Linked DNA regions of Diceros bicornis minor. The protein of the gene in region 2 interacts with the protein of the main gene of each other region in a pairwise test. Links are inferred from orthologs where the notes say so. Each region holds a gene or a part of one and is shown on either strand. Other genes may lie near its edges. The genes, in order: UNC119 and ARL15.

The links.
Region 1: the proteins of ARL15 (region 2) and UNC119 interact in binary tests that used the Homo sapiens proteins (3 or more experiments, as listed by UniProt). The link is inferred for Diceros bicornis minor from reciprocal best matches to the Homo sapiens genes ARL15 and UNC119.

What each region holds. Positions count from the first base shown.
Region 1 is NC_080757.1:18,943,550-18,954,299, reverse strand, and holds the start of UNC119 (protein unc-119 homolog A), read right to left. Parts: upstream 4,481-10,750; 5' UTR 4,412-4,480; coding exon 4,186-4,411; intron 649-4,185; coding exon 535-648; intron 43-534; coding exon 1-42. Other genes in the region: PIGS (GPI transamidase component PIG-S), read right to left, coding at 6,423-6,698, 7,049-7,259, 8,050-8,150, 8,714-8,859, 10,301-10,415. UniProt on the Homo sapiens protein: Involved in synaptic functions in photoreceptor cells, the signal transduction in immune cells as a Src family kinase activator, endosome recycling, the uptake of bacteria and endocytosis, protein trafficking in sensory neurons and as lipid-binding chaperone with specificity for a diverse subset of myristoylated proteins.
Region 2 is NC_080759.1:21,387,941-21,398,340, reverse strand, and holds the start of ARL15 (ADP-ribosylation factor-like protein 15), read right to left. Parts: upstream 4,260-10,400; 5' UTR 4,191-4,259; coding exon 4,143-4,190; intron 1-4,142.

The DNA.
Region 1 (10,750 bases), on a different chromosome or scaffold from region 2:
CAGCATTGGGGTCCAGGTCCCGCCGGATAATGGGCAACCGCTCTGTAATGCACCCCAGCTGGGGCTCAGTGGGCTTCTCGCTGGGCCCCATGCCCACCCAGGGTTCCACACCAGAGCCCCCATCTGTCTGAATTTTTAAACACTCCCCAGAAGATTTTGATGCACACTGAGGGTTCAGACCATTGGCCAAATGAATGGTCAGCAAGTCACCAATTTCAACTGAAGTTCCCAGGGCCACAGGAGGCAGAGGTCTGAGGCCTCCGGGACTGCAGTTCTCAGGGAGGCCTGCAGAGGGCGGGTTCACAGGGATTGAAGGGGCAGGACTGTCCAACCCTGGATGTCCAACCCTAGAAACAGACTGGAAGGAGGAGGCCCAGCCCCAGGCAGAGGCGTCCCTGCCTGGTGACTCCTGGGAATGCTGGGGTCCAAGCCCCAGCTCTGCTCTGACTCCTCTGCAGCCTGAAGAGTCCCTGGGCAGCCCACTTCACAGTTCTTGCCCACCTCCCTCTGTCAGTGGCCACCCAGCCCACTCACCTGAGGCTGGAGGCTTCTTGATTTCAAAGAGGACAGTGCCTGAATCCATGTCCCGAATCTTGAACCTGACGAAGTCAATCTTGTAGATATTCTCCTCGGGGGAGCACAGGTAGTCTAGGGGAGACAGGTGGCTGAGCAAGGAAGAGGCCCACCCAGAAGCCCTTGCTGCCAGCTCAGCTTTTGTGGAACCCCAGAGTAGCTACCACTTTCTCTTATCCCTAAGGTCACTGCCTTCCAGAAAGAGAGAATTGAGCTCCTGTCTTGAGGGAGCTCCAACAGTGTGGGGGAGACATAGCTCTGCCATTGGGATCTAATGGGGGACAAACAGCTCCATCCCAGTGGCCTCTGGGGTCAGGGAGGGGGAGGGCAGAGAAGGAGGAGGACAAAGCCACCTCTCCCATATTTTCTCTGCCACCCCAGAGTTGAGGGCCCTTATTCCAGCCTCTGCTTTGCCAAGGCTGGCTCAGTGACTTTGAGCCAAATGAATCTCCAATCTGATGGGGAGCCCCCAACATGAGAGGGAAAATACAGTCCTGCCTTTGGGAACTTCATTCTAAAGGGGGTGACACAGCTCTCTGCCTCGGGAGAGACACAGTACTTCTCTGAAGAATACCCCACCCCCACCCCACAGCTGCCCCTGGTGCTATACCTAGGTGTTTCAGGCAAGGACTGTCTCTGACCTGGGTACTCTGGGGCAGGCAAACAATTTCTTCTCTGTTCCTCTGCACTCCCTCAGCCCCCTCCACTCCCCATAAGCAGCTTATACAAGCCCAGCTCCCTTAAGCAGCTTAGCCAAAGCTCTGCTGACTCAAGCCCAGAACCTGGAATATCGGGGGAGAGGGGGCCACCTTTGCTCCCATTCCCCGTTGATCTCCAAATGAGAGGAAGTTTAGTGAACAGAGGGAACCCTCTCAAAGGTCATCTACCCAGCCTTGGCTCTGAACCACCCCTCAAAGAGGAGTAGAGGCAAGGCCAGGAAGAGGGTGTGGCTGCTGCAACCGGGGGTGTACATGGGGGTAAAGGGAGTCCTCAGGCCCAGAAGAGGAACCAAGAATAGTGGCGGTACCGCCTGAGGAAGCTCAGGAATACCACGGCCTGATCCAACCTTCATGGCTCTTGCAGCAGCAACCGCAACTGCTCAGGGAGGCCCTGTCAACAAATCGGAAGGAGCAGAGAGGCACAGTGAGGGGCTCCAGTGCTGTCAGCCTGCGCAGCATCACATCCTCCCTTTAGAGGCCAGGAAGTCACCCTCTAGGCCCCTGGGCCACCTCCTATCCCCCTGGGGCAGGAAGAGGAAGTGAATGTAAAGTCATTCTCTCTTCCCCAAGCCTGGGACAGCCCCCTCCAGGAAGCCCTCCTGGTAGCCACCTGGCACATTGGGGTCCAGTTGGGACTACACAGGGCTTGGGGGAGGGGTCTGAGCCCCAGCCTGTCCACCACAGCCCACGGTGGGGAGAGGAGAGACGGAGGAATGGAAGCGGGCAGCCCCTACCTCACCTTCTACACAGAAAATAAGCACTAGTCCAAAGATGTAGAAAGCAGGTGCAGGGCATAGGGAGAGGAGGTAACAGAACTGGGAGCAGGATCCTAGTCACCCAACTCCCAGCTCTCAGTAAAGCCCTCCCTTCTTCCCCCATTCTCCAACTTTTGGAGTCTCTCCTTTCATCTATAAACAAGTTCTTGCAGTCTGACCTCAGTCTCTTCTCTTACAAACAACCTATCAACTCCTCTGACCTTAGAGGAAGTGAGGAAGGGGGGATGCCCATGGCTCAGGACATCACTGCCACTCCCTCCCTTCTGCCAGGAAAGGCTGAGACCTGGGACCCAGGGTCAGGCCAGAAAAGAGGCAGAGTAGCCGAGGGCTCAGAACACAACTGCTCCCTTCCCTCAGCCACAAATAGCTTCCTAAGCTGGATTTACGGCCCCGTAATCCAGGAGGAGCAAACCTCAGATCTGTGTGATTAAGGTCAGAAGAGACCAGGGGGTGCCAGGGTGGAGACAATGGAACCCTGTTCTCAACTTCTACAAGGGGAAAGGGATCCCGTGAAGCTCCTTCCCCTACTCATCCTCCACAGATGCCCCACCTCTAAGGGCTATGAATTTTCTCCAAATTAGGAGACACATGGTGGTACACGGGCTGGAAGCCCCCAAAGTTGCAAAATAATCTCTAAAGTTACCTAGGACCCAGGCAGGTCAGCCTGACCTCCAGACATCTTATAATGAAGTTCTGCCCCAGAGCTAACCTGAATGCTAAATAAATGCCACTGTTGCCAACCACAGCCCAACTGGCATCAACATCAGCCTGGTCCAGGCCCCCTCCCTCTACCAATGCCTGCTTGGGCAAGGCAGCTCAGTACTCTGGGGGCCCAGCCAAGAATGGCTGTTGCCTGGCTCAGAGAGGGAGAAGCTGGTCCCCTAGGGACCCAGATGCACAGGCCTAGACCTGCCATCATGGTCCCCTCCATGGCTCTGTCTGACGGTCCTGGGCTCTGTTGCTCCTGCAGCTCCAGAGCTCAAGTCCACTCCAGCACCTGCTCCCAACCCCAAACAGAGGCCCCAAGAGTTGCTCTCACAGAGGGAGCCAGGGCAGGGGTACTGATGAATGAGGCCAAGGTCCAGGGCCACTGCATCTCCAAAGCCTCCTGTTCTTTGAGGCTCAGCCACCGCCTCTGCCTTGAGGCTTCTTAGCCCTGTTCCCTGCCTATGGTGACCTCCCCACCACCCCTGCCCTGAATGCCTAGTTGTCTGCCTCTGGGCAGCAGCCACGAGCAGTCCTGCCGGGCCCTCAGTACTATTGATGAAAGAGCTCTATTTACAGAGCACGCACAGCATGCCAGGCACTGTGCAAAATCAGAGGATTTATTTTCACAATAGCCCTAAGGTAGGTGTCATTATCCCCATTTTACAGGTGAATACGCTCATAGAAGTAAAGTTACTTGCACAAGGTCACACACCCAATTACATGGCAAAGCTGGGACTCCAAACCACGCAGTCCAACTCAGAAACTCAACCACAGTGGAGACTATCCTTCCCAGAAGAGGACAGGCCCCAGTCCAGGCTAATGGGGGCATTAACCCACTCCCTTGAGAAGAGAGCCAACCCACTGAAGCTTTCTGCTCAGGTCCTTTCCTGGGGAGGGGGATGGCCTCAGGTTTCCTGGGGAACCCATGGTGAGTGCATTAATGGTCAGGGAGACCTGAGGGTCTTAATGCCACCTAAGGAACTCAGCCTCCACTTAGCCTCCAGGGTGGGGACTGAGGACAGACTGCACTCAGCCCCCCTCCTCATTACTGCAAAGAAAGCCCTCAAAGGGCTCTGAAGATTCCATAGGGAGGGAGTCACAGTTGCAGCTGCTGCCCACCTCCACCGTAGGAAAGCAGGATGGACTCCTCAAAAAGGAAGGAGTGGAGTGGAAATAAACCTCTAAAGGGAGATGAAGGGGGCACTGGGAGATCAGCGGAAACGGGAACATGGAGATCTCAGGCTTGGAAGCAGAAAGGTAGGGAGCACAGGCAAGGGGGACCTGGGTGGGGGAGGGGAGGCGGGGGGAGAGCGGGAAAGGGGGCGGGGGCCGGGGCTCCGCGCGCCTCGAGGGCCCCCTCCCGCGCTCTCCCACCCGCCCGCAGGCGGCGCTTCCTCGCCGGTGCTCACCGCCCGTGATCCGCTGCAGCCCCAGCACGTCCTCCGGCCCAATCGGCTGCTTCCTCTGCAGCGGCCCCGGCCTGGGCCCCGGGCCTGCCTCCGGCTCCGACTCGGACTCGGATTCGGATTCCGCCTGCGGCTGCGGCTCCAGCTTGGGCTCCACGCTCGGGCCCGAAGTCCCTGGGGCGGGCTCCGCCCCCGTGCCGGCCCCGCCACCGCCCTTCTTCACCTTCATGGCCTCACCGGGCCGCGGCTCGCCTCCTGCCGCCGCGGCTGCCTGAGCCGGCTGGAACCGGGGGAAGGGGGAGCGTCCGCAGCCCCACCCCCGGCCGGGGCCCCAGGTACCGCTCCGCCCCCGGGGTGGGTCCGGCACTGGCCCCGCCCACCCAGCGAAAGGCTGTGGGCGTCCTGACCTGGGCTATTCACCCAGGCCAGGGCGACCCTGGCCCTCATCCATTGTTTCCATGGCTACTTTACAGGGTCCTGGCTACCTCTGCTTACTCGCTGTTCTCCAGCAAGTTTGCCCTTCCCTCTGCCCCTCAAGGGACTTCCTGCCTCAGGGTCTTTGCCTGGGATGCTCTTCCCCCAGATGGCCTCTTCTTGTCCTTCTGGTCTCCGCTGAAATGCCTCTGCTCAAAGGTCATCCCTCATAACCAACCTAAAGTACTAACCCCCAGTCACTACCTGATCAACCTGTTTTTTCTTTCTAATGCATTATCTGAAATTAATTTTATTTGTCACTGACTCTTCCCCCTAAAAGATCAGTTGGGTGAGCGGGCCTGCCCTGTGGCCAAGCAGTTAAGTGCGTGCGCTCTGCTGCTGACAGCCCGGGGTTTGGATCCCAGGAGCGCAGGGATGCACCACTTGTCAGGCCATGCTGTGGGGGCGTCCCACATAAAGTTGAGGAAGATGGGCACAAATGTTAGCTCAGGGCCAGTCTTCCTCAGCAAAAAGAGGAGGACTGGCATGGATGTTAGCTCAGGGGTGATCTTCCTCAAAAAAAAATAAAAATCAGTTGAGTGAAAGCAGAGATCCTGTCTTTGTTCTAATACCCCAGCACCAAGCACTGTGCCTGTTGCAGCCCGTGCTCAATATATTTTCTTTTTTTGAACTGATGAATGAGTTAGCATCTGAGGGCTTACACTGGTACAAGCTATTCTCTCCCAAGACCCCCTGCTAAAAAGCAGAAATAGATGCTGTCTTGTTGGGCAACTGAGGACATGCTGAGAAACAACAGCCTAGCCACCACAGGGCCCTCCAGAACAGGGACGCAGGAAGGGCACATAGCCACATGGAAGCAAGGTGGACCTGTGAGCCCAGAAGGACAGACACTAAGAAACTGTTACTTACACATAAATGAAGGAACAATGAAAGGTATGCTCATACTTCATATCATCCCAATTCACATTCAGTCAATGTTTATTGAGACCCGAGAATATGACCGACACTTCACATGCTTATCACATTTAATCCTCACAACCACCTTGTAAGGGAAGTATCATTAGCGCTATTTTAACAGATGAAAAACTGAGGCTCAGAGAGATTAAATGGCTTATTCAAAGCTCCTCAGATGGTAAGTGCAGAAGCAAGGGTTTGAATTCAGGCATGCTTGATCCCAAGTCCAGAACTTTCCCCATTGCACCACACTGCCTCTAGGAAAGGGTGAAGGGAACTTCTGCACACACACAGCACCAGGTCCTGAGCTGCTGCCTTCTGGACTCCCCGTCAGGCTGTACCCAGCAAGTATAGACAGCCAGGAGGGAGGGGGGTAAGGGAGAAGACCCCCGAGGTGACCTGTGCCTGGCCCCTTCCACGAGAGCAGTGCTAGGGCTTCTCCCTCGAGAAGCGTGAGGGCAGGGGGCTGGAATCCAACCCAGGGCTTTCCCCTAAGGCTCTCTCCCAGTACAAGAGAACTGTGAGGAACAGAGCAGAAGCACAACAAGCTGCCCCTGCCCCAGAGGGAGACAGGCAAGGGCCTTCAACTTCAAGCCAGATAAGGAGACCCAGATGATGCACTTTTTGAGGACTGGGGGTGTGTGCATGGAGTAGGGGAGGACCTGAGCCACAGGAATGGGAAGGGAAGGAAAGATGAACCCATCTTGGAGTGTTGTACTCTAGTTGCTGGAAAGGCAACAGGGGCTGGAGACAAACAAATCATTCGTGACAGGCCCTGTTTATTTGCCTCTAAATCTAACACCTCCCACCCTGGCCAGAAAGGAAGCCTTTCTACTGAGATGCTGCCCTGCTCAGTCTGTCTTCTCAGGCTTTTTCCAGGACTTGCGGGTCTCCAGGAAGATCTTGACCAGGGATAGGAGGATAGGCACAGCCATAGGCAGGAAGAGCGGGATGTAGATAGCAAACTTCTGGTCATCAGGGAAATAGAGGAGGTGGAGGAGCGAGGGGTCAAAAAAGGCACGCTCCGAGGACGTCACAGCTTCCTGGGTGGCAACGAAGGCAGAGGCCAAGTGCCCAGAGGCCAGCTCCTCTGCTGCCTTCTGGACTGCAGCTACAGCCCTATACACCTAGGAAGGGGGCAGGGGGTTACCAATAAGTCCTAGGCATTGGTTGAGGGGGGGGATACTGGGCCTCAGTGTCTTCGGTCTACCAGACAGGTTGCCTGAAGTTCACCCAGGATATACAGAGGCCAGTATAAAAGGGCTATAGTGTATTTTCTTAGTGCCTGCTTAAAACCTCACAGCCCCATCTGGACTCTTGCTGCGGAGCTGGCAGTGCCCTCTAGAGGAAGCCTGGGGCACTCAAGGATGGCATGACACATACTCCGAACCTCAACTGGCTCTCTGGTTTCACCACACTCTGGCCCTCGATGACCACTCCAATTCTAGGCCACAGAATCCATCCCCCGCCTGCTTACCTCAGATGCCACATCGTCCTTGATGACAATGTTGTTGATCTTGCCCAGAAGCTGGGCCAGGGAAGTGAGAGTGGTGGTGGCTGTGGCCAAGTTCTCCACTGACCGAGCCCAGAGCAGCCGGTCTAGCTCCCAGGTCATTAGCCCTTCACTCTTAGGCCCTGAAAACAGGCATTTTGGAGGCACCTGGGGCTGAGCAATCCCAAAGAGCAGCCTGTAGGAACAGTGAAGTGAGGTCAAAGGGGCTGAGAATAACTAGAAGGTGAGAGATGGTTAAGATTCCTAGAATAACTACTAAGATTTTCAATCTTACCCAGAACCACAGGAATTGTAGGGAAGTACCTCAGGGTCTTGGGGGGTGAGTGGCAACACTAAGCAATCCTGAGCTCCAAGTCCCACTTTAACCAGTGTTTTCTCTTTTACCTGTTTCTATATTGGACTTCCAAGATCTTGTTTGAAGAAAGGTTCCATGGTTAAAATATTTCTGATAAGCCAACTTAGTTTAATCTCCTCACTCTGTCTACCCTCTCTTTGGTCAAATGGGGCCACTGAGCCTTGTTATGGGATGATCCAGGACCACCTCTGACAAGGCACGCATTCTGTGCCTCTCTAATCCCTGCACCCAGGGCAGACATTGCTAATCAATCAGAATCCTCTTTCCAGATGAGCCCAGACACAGCCTTAGAATCCTCAACATAGGGCTTCAGGCAGCCACTATCAATAGAGCAGTTAGCCCAAGAATTACTAGCTGTTTTCTTAGGTACCCCTAATCACACCCCATGGACCTGACATTCATGAGTCTATTTTTCTTAAAACAGTTTTTGTCAGCAACTAGTCCTTCTTAGGAGACAGATGAAGCAATCTTTGGAAACCTTTCTTGGTTTCCCTGGGGCTCTAGGCACAGCCAAGGAATCCCTGCCAGGTGAGATTTCATTCCAGTCAACCCAGGAGACTGTGGTCAGACTCAGTGGCCATGCCCCCAAGCGGATCACCCAGGACCTCACCGCAGCTGAGCCAGGAACACCTCCATCACTCGCACCATGTCCACCTCCACTCTCACCGGCAGTTCCGAGGCACTGTAGGCGTTGGGGTCCACATTGTATACCTGCAAGGGGAAAGGAGGTTGCCACGTCACACCAGGACCATGCACAGCACTGCCCTGGACACTCTGGAGCCCATGAGAGAAAAGGAAGACACATTCTGTGCTCTTTAGAAATTACAAACTTGATGGTATAACTATTATTTTTTGAATACCTGCTGTTAGGAGCTTTATATAAATTTATCTCCATTACCCCCTCAAAAGTCCTATAATAGAGTTATTTTTTATTCCATTTTAGAGTTACTACCCATGAGAAACTCCCAGTCTAACAGGGAGACAAAGTTTCCAACGTTGCAAGACTCCCACAGATAGGGCCAAGATCTAAGATATATGCAGAATAGTCCTGAGTAACTGCAAACTGCAAGTGAGAAAGGGTCATATCATAGAAAATATTGACAGAAATAAGCAGCATGTGGGCTGGCAGAAGAGGCACACGAGCTCACAGCACCCTCACCTCCCACAGGCTGGGCCACGGAGGACACCAGAGGAACAAGAGAAGGAAGAGTCTCAGGGGACATCTGTCTGTCCCTGAAGCTTGGGCTCTGGGGTCTGCACAATGTGACCATTACCATAATGCCACCCCAGCGGGGACTGTGGAAGGCGTTGGTGGCCACTGGAGCCCCGTCCTTGTCCTGAATGTACAGGGGGGAGTGGGCAAGCTCAGGTACATAGAGTAGGAAGTTGAGCACAGGGTAAAGAGAGGCAGCGCTGGATCCTGTGGTACAAAGAGAAGGGGAGTCAGATACTGAAACATGCTGGATCAAGATCTTAGTTCCAAAAAAAAAAAAAAAAGATCTTAGTTCCAGGTCATCCTCTAACTTGCTGGTCACTCACTCTGGGCCTCATTTCCTCACTAATCACTAGGATATCCTCAGTCCTGGGTTTCTGTGATAAAGTACCTCTGAACATTCTCCCAAGATGTGCCACATAGATGAAGTGCAGTCCTCAGTCCGGGAACCTCCCCTCTTCTTAAGAGGCCCCCCCCTTGCCTGTCTGAGACAGGTCTCTTGGCCACTGCCTCATGGCAACCATATTACTATAACTCATTTTATGCAAAGTATAAATCTGACCTTATGTCAGTTCCCTGCTAATATCCTTCAATGGCTAGCCATTCATACCAGGTTAGTGTTCAAACTCCTTAACATGGCCCTTTATGATCTGGTGCCTGCCGGCTTTACCTTGGTCACTTTCTCACCATTCAGCCACACTAAACTTAAGAGCTTCCTGAATGTCTCTGCACTCTTACATCTAAGCTTATAGTTCCCTTGCCTGAAATGCCCTTCTATCTCTACTCAGCACTGCCAGAAAGCAGTCCCTCAACCAATATCTGCTGAATCAATGAATGAAGGAGGAATTTGCCAAGGCCTCACATGCCGCCCCTCCCAGACCCCTTGGTCCACACTGGCCTAGCCCTGATGCCTGAAATTCCACAACTAGTGATATACTCACTTTGATTTGCCTGTATTACAGTTCTTAGTCACACTCACTGTTCCTCGGTACCACTCCAAAAATGATAAACCGGAATCCTAGCTTCGATATTCCTCAACCTCACTCAGCAGAACTGTCAATTTGAATTCTGCCTTCATGTTCTTTTGCTGTTGTCCTTCCTACATGAGTGACCATACCTTTCCTGGATGGCTTGCAGGGAGGGAGACACAGCCTAACCATTTGTTTATAAAAAGAGCTGGCAATCACATTTTTTTTTTTTTTGGTCTTTTTTTTTTTTTTTTTAAAGTTTATTTATTTATTTATCCCCCCAAAGCCCCAGTAGATAGTTGTACGTCATAGTTGCACACCCTTCTAGTTGCTGTATGTAGGACTCGGCCTCAGCATGGCTGGAGAAGTGGTGCGTCTGTGCGCGCCTGGGATCCGAACCCAGGCCACCAGCATCAGAGCGCGTGCACTTAACCGCTAAGCCATGGGGCCGGCCCGGCAATCACATTTAATAAATGCTTTTGGATATGAAGGTGTGGAGATGGAGATGTCATCAACAGGGTATCATGAAAAGGGAGCCTAAATGCCCAGCACTTCCTTAACACCCTCAGACCAAGCCAACCTGGGAACCATCACTATATACAATCTGCCCCCAAACCCACGCTGAGCCTTCAGGGTCCCTCCCCAGCTTGGCAGAAAGACCCTCATCCTCAGGAGCTCACCCAGCCGGGACTCCACTGGGTTGATGACGTGGGGGAGGCTGTGCGCAGCCAAGTAGTAGCTGGAGGAAGCTGGGTCAAAGCGAGGGTTCACCCCCAACACTGCATAGTAAAGGATCTGTAGAGCAGAGCGAGAACGTTATTTTGTTTATTGATTTATATTCCACTTTGTCCCAAAGAAGATTTGAGGTACCTTGAAAAGATACAATTAGGACAGGGCAAAACATAAGAGGCAAAATTAGAGCTAAGAGAAAACAGATGTAGGAAAAATATAACAAAGCCAAGAGTAAAGTCAGTACACTAAATACAAGCTTTGAAAACCACATATTTTACCAGGTTTTCTAACAGCCTAAACAAAGAGAGAAACAAAGAGTATAATTCAGTGTCCACAAGATCAAATCAAGTCAGTTATTCAGAAGTAATTACTCCCACTATCAAGACCTGATAAAAATT
Region 2 (10,400 bases):
AAGAAGAGGAAGATTGGCACAGATGTTAGCTCAGGGCCAATATTCCTCAGCAAAAAAAAAAAAGAAACAGACACATAAAATAAAAGTACCAGAAAGCCAAGGAGCACATCAGAAGCTGCCTCCTCCCCCATGTGCCTTATCCAACCTGTCCTGCCACAGGTCCCTGTAGAGCCACCTGCCTGCTGGTCCTACAGCCAAGGGGATCCTAGCTGGGTGCTCATCCCCCATGACATTCAAGGCCAGGCACAAAGCAGAGGTTCCATAAATGTTTGCTGAATGGATTAATGTAAATATCAGAATGTGGTTTTATTTTTATAGGTATTAAAAAATCCTCAAGAGAGTCTTGTGACTTCCTGCTGGCTGATTACCACTCCAACTCTTTCCATATACTGAGACTAGTTTAAAAGGTAGGCCAATATTTACCACTGAGCAGTAATAGTCATTCCACAGGAAGTATAAGAATAATATCAGCATCGTAACCACAATACATTAGCATTTTATATCTGAAAAGCAGTGTGCTGTGTATAAATCACCTTCCCTCTATTATCTCATTTAATCACCATAGGCATTACACAAAGCATCACAAATCTTATTGCTGTTGCTTTGACGGCAGAAGGGAGAAAAGGTGAAATCCAGACCAATCAACATGTAAGAGTTAGGACAAAAAAAATTTTAACTAAAAGGAATCTAGAAGTTAATCTTGTCCAACTTCCCAGGAAAACCTGGTAGATATGTTTTTCTCTTTCATTATAACTTGACTATTTTCTCCCACCTTATTCGAAAAGCTCTGCACATTGTCTTACTGGTTCTACCCGTCAGAAGAGAGAGAGAAAGATGCTGGTACTCCCTGTTGAAACAGCAGCAAAATCTTTACCCATAGATCTGACAGGTGTAAACATGGCCTTTAATGCCGATTATGACAATGGGAAAAAAGTGTGTGGCCTCCTAGGCAGATTCCCTTAACAGGAAAACCAAGATTTTTATATTTAAATTGCCAGCCAGGCTAAACAAATTATATCTTGATAATCTTAAAGTTTAAGAGTAAAGGATACATTCTGCATTCCCCAGAACAAAACACCTAATCAAAACAGATTTTATCTTGTCTCACTTTAGAAGCTGGCAAGAAAAGTAGAATTGTCCCTTCTGTCTCATAGTAACTCAATTCAACAAATAATACTGGGCCCTACTATGTGCCAGGAACCAAGTCAGGCACTGGGTGATACATGCAATTATTTAGGATTAGTAAATTACCATTATTTCCCTGAACTGAAATCAATAAAAATCCTGTCTTAAATATTAAGGTACTATCCCTGGCCCCCACATTGTCACCTTTAATTGAGAACATTTCTTTTAAGTTAAGAAATCAACAGCAACCTCTAAGATCAGAGAGATTCATCATCTGTTTTAATATCCGCAATCCTATTAAAAGCTGTTAAAAATAGTACCTCTACGGTTTTCTCATTTCTCTTCCTTTCCACTCTCCTCCAAATAAAAAAGGTTAAGTGATAACATCCAGTCTAAAGAACAATGGACAATACATACACACACAGAGCTCCCTCTTCCAGCTTCCAACATCAACAACAAGAAAGTCAAACACCGATTAAAAAGAAAAAAAGAAGAAAAGAAAAGATGGCACACACCATGATTCCTGTCCAGTGCACAGGCAGGACGCTTCCTCTAGTCCACAAGCTCAGCAAAATCTAGAGTCAAACTCAAAAGGAGCATTTTTTTCTGGAAGGTAAGTAAAAGAACTGGGGAACTGATCTATTTTAAAAATAAGACCCCAGATGCAGTCAATGAAATTTTCATTTTTCAGAAATTGGTTTTTAATAAACACCATGTAAAAATTATGCATGAGCAACCAAGTCAATCTGAAAGGCAAGAAGAAAAGAATGATGTGTGGCATGTCATTTTCTCTGAAAGTGGATAAGCAAAAAGTAAACAAAAGACCACCACAGGAGGGCTGTTTTTTTCTTTTTTTTCAGTCCAGTTTCAGTAAAAACTGGACTTAATGTTTAAGGATTTTCTTAAATCCTTTCACAGGGGATACCTGGCACACTCATAAAAACTGACATTTCCTTTAAGATTTTTTTCTCACATCCAATGATTAGCCAGTGATTTTTATGGGACTGTTTCACTGCACTTGTGAATTTTTTAAAAAGCAGAGTTAAAGTGACAAAACAAGGAATTTTTTAATACAAGTGCAAAAGTTGGGTTGTGGGGGAGTGGCAGGTAAAACAAAAAGGCCATGTCAAATTCAAGGCCCACTGATTTTGCCACAAAACTGCTAGTAAATTGACAAAGAAATTAATCTCCTTCTAAGGTAACCTAGATCCCCACAAACATTCCTCTACCCATGCTTAGACTCTCCGGAAATTAACCTGAGTAATTACCCCAGAGTTTTCAGTTTTTTTTCACTAAATGCTTTGGTGGGTTTGGCACCTCAAAGACAAGTCTGTGATGCAATTTGTCAACTTAAAACACACCCAGTAAATAAAAATAATAATAAAATGACCAGAACCGCTTGACTTCCTTTTTAGGTAGTTAATTATCCAAAATTAGCTCTCAGCAGTATAGGTAATGCCACCCTTTCCTACTTGGTAATTATTCTCAACAAACTTTGGCTTTAATCTGGGTAGACTGCAAGACAAAACCATAGAACTGTATAAGACAAGCTACAAATTATAATCAGTTATTTAATTTAGAAAACAATCTTTAGAAAACATTTGACAACTCTCTTAACCTACATAACACTCTGCATTTTAAAGAACGTTTACAATCAGATAACCCCTTTAACCGGCTCTAGTTGTGGGTGGATAACGTCCCTTCATCACAAAAATAGAAGTTACTGACATCAACAAATGAACAACAAAACAGAATTTGAACTCAGAAATTTTGACTCTGCTCCATCCACAAGGTCATATATTAACTGCAATCACCACCCTTCCCCACAAGATCATCAACCACGAAGCCTTAGGAGAAACATCTCCTTCAGGTCAACTAAAATAACCCCAAATACCAGGTAACGTTATAAAACCAGTCCTTGTCCAGCATTTCTTGATCATGGAAGCATTTACAGTCTTTCTTAGTACAGCCTTAAGTGGAATTCCTAGAAGGCACTGGCAAATCTCTGCCAGGCCAATCTGCAGTCGAAAACCTACTGCATGTGTCCAACAAGATGAGAGGAGGATCAACGTTTTTAACCATCTACTTCAACTCTGCACTGCACTAGCGGTTCCGGCTAACAAGGTAAACCTGGTAATTGCATAGGATCGAACATAGCCAATGTTAGTGAGGATGCCCCTGAACACAAACAGGCAGCTCTGGGGAAATATAATTTCCGGAACAAATTCACGGTGCTTGCATAATTCCACAAGAACACACACACTAGGCAGTTTTTAAAATAATGCTCAGTCCCAGCACCGTGCTGACACTTTTCCCACCTAAACTTCTCAGCACAAGCCTGGCCTAAAAGCACAGCTAGGATCCCATCCGTGCACAGGGTAAAGGCGGCATGCACCCACGACAGGAACGGTGGGCAACGCCTGCCCCTTCCCGGACCAGTTCTGGCCAGACTGCGATGTAGTTCAGTCCCGTCTACTTTATGGTAATGTGCTTTTAAACCCTCTCCGCGATTGAGGTCATAGCTTTAGAGATCTAATAACAACCAAATGACTGGGGCTGCCGGGCACTTAGCGAGCCATTCTGGTTATGGCTCTTTAATAGTACCTGGAGTCCTGCTGAAGGAAGAGCGGAAAACTCCTGCTTCCGCGGAAAGAAAGTCCTGTGCAGAGCGCAGAGGGAAGGCGAGAACCCGACCGCGGGCAGGGGACGCCCCGCCGCCGCCGCCGCCGCCGCGGCCCCATCTCTCGGGCAGCCCCCCGCGCCCCTCGCCCCGCAGCGCGGCTGGCCCGGGCCGCACCTTTACCTGTCAGCCCCACCAGCCCTCCGCGCTGCGGCCCCGCGGTCCAGGCGGCCGCCCGTGCGGGTCCCGGCACAGCTCTAGAGGCGGCTGCGGGAGAAAGAACCCCAAAGGCATCCCATCCCAAAGAAAGAAAGCAAAAAGGCTGCTCCTCCAGGCAGAGGGATATCGGGCACGTCGGGGTCCGAGAGGCGACACGCCACCCCTGCCCCGCACCTACCAGATAATCCATGTACAGAAACGCCTCAGTTATCCGGAGATCAGACATCCGGCAGCCTAAAGCATCCGGAACGGCTCCGAACCCGGAAAAAAAAGCAGCGTCTCTGGCTGCGAGCGAGCAGCCCCTGAAAAAGCCAGCAACAACGAAAATAGCCGAGAGCAGCCGAGGAGCCGAAGATTACACAAGGGGCGCGGCGATTGGCCGGGCGGGCGGGCAGAAGGAAAGGAGAGCGCTCATTGGCTGCGGTGACTATAAAAGGCAGGCCGCCGCGGGTGGCACCAGAGAAGCGCGGGAGCGGCCAGGGCGCTGGTTCCTGTGGACAGGGCGGAGGGGCGGGGGCGAGGGCGGTGCAGGCGGAAGAACCAGCGGGCAAAAGCGGAAAATCGGCTGGTGCTGCAGCTGCCTGAGTTCTGTAGCCTCCTAGCTGGGTACAGCCGAGCAGAACTCTGCCCTAGTGCTGGAGAGCCTTGGTGTTCCCTCCCACCGCCCCCGCAGTAGGAAGCTAGCGCTGAAACGTGGGAGGCGTGGTAGCCGCCGACACTTAATGCCTCTCTCCCGAGCGATTTCCTGAAGGCTCTGCGGCCTGGAGACTGCACATCGGGCAGGCTTGAAGTGTATCGGAGGGTAATCTGAACAGGCAAGCCGGTGACTCGGGGATGGGAGGTGGTCCTGGGGGGGGGGTCCCTCCCCACCTTCAGATGAGAAACTGCGAAGGCAGACAGCTCCAGCCTGATGTCCCTGGGGGTACAGTGAAGCCCCGGACGCGGTCAGAGGTAACCCAGGAGGCTGCCTCTTTATGCCGAATTGTTCCCGGAGAATTCACTCTCCACCACGTGAAAGGAAAAGACGAAAAGTTTGGGGACTCGATATAAGTCGATTGTAGACCTCAAACACTGGGGAAGAAGAAGGTGATCAGTTGTCTGCATGCTTTGAGTCCAGTTACAGTGAGCACAAATCCATTGCCCGTGAGGAAAATGAGCAATAGAAGAAACTCTCTGGAAAGACCCAATTAATACAGTGTTTGTGACCCGATGTCATTTTAAGACGTAAAAGTATCTGTAAGCAGGTGCACTTGAGTCTTATACATTTCCTGGTTAAAAAACTTGGAAATTGTCATTGGATCTCACTATTGTATTAAGCTGGGGGAGGGGGAGCTGAGTCAGACAAGAATAAGAACACTAAGAACACAAGATAAGAACACTAAAGGCTTTATCTTTTGAAGATTCAGGCTACACAATGCCAGACATCTTATCAGGCTCAGGTGACTGCAGTGTTTCCCCACCAGAGGTTAAGGAGGGCGAGGGGATTGCGCTCGCTTGTATCAATAATTAGAGCTTCCTTACAATAATATATCAAGAGTAAAACTTCAATTGAAATCTTTCTGAAGTGACTGCCTGACTCTGTTTTAGGGGTTGGATTTTTATTTTCCCCCTAATTTGGCACCTTTGTTTTTTGTATCCTCAGGAATGAATTTCCATACAAGTTTGCCTGGGGCTGCCCAAACAGTTCTATTAGATGACAATAGAATTCATCCTAAACATGCAGGTAACTCAGAGAGTGCAGCCCTTTAGAGAGAACTCCAGGTTGGTGAGCCATGTGATTTTGGGTAAGGTATCTCATCTCCCAGCTGAAAAATGGGAATTCTTATGGCCATAGGGTTTTTTGAAAAAACTAAAAGACTGTAAATAGGCACACTTAGTACAGAGCTTGACTCTCTTGATCCAATTTACAGACAAGGGTGTGTGTGTGTATAAATAAGAAATTCTACTCCTGAAGAACTTTCAGTGAGTTTTTGCCTATGCAGGAGCTAACTCAACTCAATGGCATTAAGCCGTTGGATCCAATTTTGACTGTTCTTGGCATTCTATTAAATCAAACACATGTAGGTTTAGAACACATTTTGACCTGGATTCTGAAGGTGATGAATTTCCGTAAACCTACAGCACAATTGGTTGAAACTAATTGCAGAAGTTGAAGGCCTCTCTAACTTGCTAGCAAAAATAATTCAAATAGACAAGGAACCTTTCGGGTTTGTTTGTTTTCTTCTTTCCAAGAGGAAGCATATTGCAAATAGATAAAGAGCTTGAGTTAGTAAAGAGACACCTTTTGGTCCATTTTCTTAGTGATAAATGATGTCTTGACTACCGCCAAGTCAGACTCTTGAGAAGCCTGTCAGTTTCTCTGCAGGGGAAGATAGTCACTCAGGAGCAGTCGGCTTCTGCCTTTACTTTAAAAGCTAACCTTAGAGAAAGTCCTGAACAGAAGGTCATTAAAACCACAACATGCTTCATGCTACCTCTAGGAATTAGTAAATGAGCCCAAAGCAGGGTGATGAACGAATGTGTTCAAGGAAAAGTTCCAAAGGCTGCACCATTGTACTCTCACCCTATTCCACACCATTTGCACATTTGTTTCAACTGGCACCAAAAAAAAACCTTGTGTTCCGTGTAATGTATTAAAAGAATCATATATTGCCTTTTGGAAGAGTCCTTGTAAAAGAAACCCTGAAGCTTCAGAACTCCATATGGAGCACATTTTTCTAATTAGGTGTTAATCTTCTGGGATGTTAATGTGTCTACTCTTGTGCAGAAGAAAGAGGCCAACTAGATTATGTTGGTATAAATAGATAATACACTACCCACTACATGAAGCTGCGGTCTTAGCTGATAGGGGTGGTAGTAACAGTAGTAATCACCCTAATTCATGTTAAAAATAGAGTGTTGAGAGCTTAGAAGGCATACATTCAACTTATCCCACTATATGCCAAGTAACAAACTGCAGTCTTGAATAAGACATGATCTCATTAATGTAGCCCTGCCTTTGCTCTCAATAAAAAGAATGACCCTCTTCCGGATGCATAAGAAAACATGGATAAACTCATGAGGCTATTGCATTACTACACAGGTTTTGAGGAAAGGCCATCACTGTTGCTTGTCAAAAGTAAGGAGAAATTCTTTTGACAGTCCATAGTCTACAATTCCATGAAGACTGCTGGCTAGCCAGATTTGGAGGAAAAATTTTTGGTTAATGTGTTGCTTGTAGGAAACAAAAACAGAAATGTGTTTTTGCAACCTGGTCTCCCAGATTCTAAAATCCAGAAAAAGCAACATTTAGTGGCTCTTTCCCTCTATTCCCTTTTTGTTGTTCATTTGATACATAATAACTAAAGAATACTGTCTTTACTAGTCTTGTATCATGCGCAGTCAATATATAAAGTTCATCATAAAATTCTTCATAAATGTTTAATGGCTATGCAAAGCTCTATTGTATAAATGTACTATGTTCACAAATCTATTAGATACTACTATTATAAATATTGCAGTGAATGTTTGCTTATAAAATTGTTCACATCTCATTATCCTAATGTCTAGAAATGAAGTTACTAGTACAAAGGGTATAAGTACTTTTTTGTGTGTGTGAGGAAGATCAGCCCTGAGCTAACATCCATGCGAATCCTCCTCTTTTTTTGCTGAGGAAGACTGGCCCTGGGCTAACATCCGTGCCCATCTTCCTCCGCTTTATATGGGAGGCCGCCACAGCATGGCCTGGCGAGCAGTACATCGGTGGGCGCCTGGGATCCGAAGCCCGGCCACCAGCAGCAGAGCGCGCGCACTTAACCACTACGCCACGGGGTGGCCCTGGTATAATACTCATTTTTGTACTGGCTTATAGTCTCATCCCCCTGACCCCAACTCCAAAGTAGGGAGTGCTTATCTTGCCTCATTCTTGCCTTGATAGAGTATACTATTCCTTAATAGCTGAGAGATGGTATCTTTCATTAGAGTAACTCAAACCACGGATACTCCTTTTTCAGAAAAAGTGGAGATGTCCTGACACTGAGTTCTACGCAGGTCATCAGGCACACTTGGTTTGCTCACTTACTGTCTCCAATAACTCATGTGACCTTAAAACTCTCTTCTGAGCCCTGCCCTCTTTTTTTTTTCCAGATGGTTGCCTTCACACAAACACACACCCCATCTCTGATTTACCCCCAGTCCCCTTCCCTGCTTCCTAAACCTAAACAAAGTACCACTATGTCCTAGAAGATGAACCTCACCAGAGCGGGATGCCCCTACATGAAGCTGCCAGCAGAACTTGATTCATAAATGGAAGAGGTCAGAATGAGGTTGCAGGAGCAAGGACTTAACCCTAAGAAGATAACTCACCTCTTCCAAAAAGGATTTGCTGGGTCTTAGAATATTAAAGCAAGATAAGGCATTTAAAATGAAGAATCACCACTTAACATGGTAAATAATTATACCAGAAAGAGGTAACTAGACATCACAGGCAACTGCTATTCAAGCACCAAATATCAAGAAGCTATGTAAATCCCTCTTAATACCTCCCCAGCATCATTTAATCTCTTAGATGCAGTACTGCATCACTGATTGTATTAGTTTTCTATTGCCACTGTAACAAATTACCACAAACTTAATGACTTAACACAAATTTATTAAAGTTCTGCAAGCTAGAAGTCCTGAATCTTATGGGGCTAACATCAAGGTGTTGGCAAGGCTGCTTCCTTCTGGAGGTCCCAAGGGAGAATTCCTTGTGTTTTACAGTTTCTGGTGGCTGTCTGCATTCCTTGGCTTGTGGCCACATCACTCCAGTCTCTGCCTCTGTGGTCACACTGCCTTCCCCTCTTCTGTAATCTAGTCTCCTACCTCCCTCTTCTAAGGACAATTGTGATTGCATTTAGGGCCTACCCAGATAATCCAGGATAATTTCCCTATCTCAAAATCCTTAATTTATCACATCTGCAAAGTCAGTTTTGCCATTTAAGGTAACATTCACAGGTTCCAGGAATTAGGACCTGATATCTTTGGGGCCATTATTCAACCTAACACACTGATCTTGTGCGGAAAAAGCAAATACTTCCATGGAAATCCAAAGGGACAAGCACAATTTACTAATGCCTAAGGAATCAGAAAAGTGGGGATCAACTCCCAGCTTCAGATTAAATTTGATTTGATTAATTAAAACTTTGTGATGCAGCCCCAGGGTCCTTTCCAGTTCTATTTGCACAGTTCACTTCTCATCTGGCATTTGAGTACATTTTTCTTCCTTTACTTACACCTTTTAAAAAAATAACCTTATTGAGATATAATTCCCATACCATACAATTCACCCATATAAAATATACGATTCAGGGGCTGGCCCGGTGGCGCCAGCGGTTAAGTGCGTGCGCTCCACTGCAGCGGCCCGGGGTTCGCCGGTTTGGATCCCGGGCGTGCACCGACACACTGCTTGGCAAGCCATGCTGTGGTGGTGTCCCATATAAAGTGGAGGAAGATGGGCACGGATGTTAGCCCAGGGCCAGTATTCCTCAGTAAAAAAAAAAAAAAAAAGGAGGATTGGCAGATGTTAGCTCAGGGCTGATCTCACACAAAAAAATAATAAATATACGATAGAATGGGTTTTGGCATATTTACAGATTTGTGCAACTATCTAAAATCTACAACTTTAGAACATTTTCATCACCTCTAAAAGAAACCCTGAACCTTTTAGCTATCACCCTCCACCCCTACCCTCACCCCTGGGAAAATACTAATTTCTGTCTCTACAGACTTCTCTATTCTGGACTTTCATACAAATGGAATCATAAAATATGTGGCCTTTTTTAACTGGCTTCTTGCACTTTGCATGTTTTCGAGATTCATCCATGTTGTAGCATGTACATTCCTTTCTATGGCTAAATAGTAGTCCATTGCATGGATATACCATACTTGGTTTATCCATTCATCCATTGATGGACATTTGGGTCATTTCCACTTTTCAGCTCTTATGAATACTGCTCCTTTATTATAATTTTGGTCTCTATTTCTTTTGATCACACCAATATTAACTTTTTCTTCAGACCTCTTCCTCCTTTTTCCTTCCTCTTCTGTAGCTAAATGTTCTACTTGTTCTAGACCAATTGGTCTAAATATGAATGCTATTTTCTCCCTTCAACATTTAACTCAGAATTTTCTTATAAAGAATTTTATTTATCTGCTCAGTTTGATTAGTCCTTCACTCTCCACAACTTCTTGAGCTCCAGTAGTCAGCTTTTTTCTGTTCTAGATTGAATATAGAAGGATAAAATCTCTGAACATATTTTAATCGTACAGTGTTTTTTGGTGGTTTTGAACATTTGGTGGGATGAAGCATCTGAATTGCTGCTGAATATCCTGCATGATAGAGAATAGTGTGCTAAGTTTCTTGAAAGTCTTTGAATTACCAAGATTGTAAGCTTTACTTAATAACCAGATTATTAAA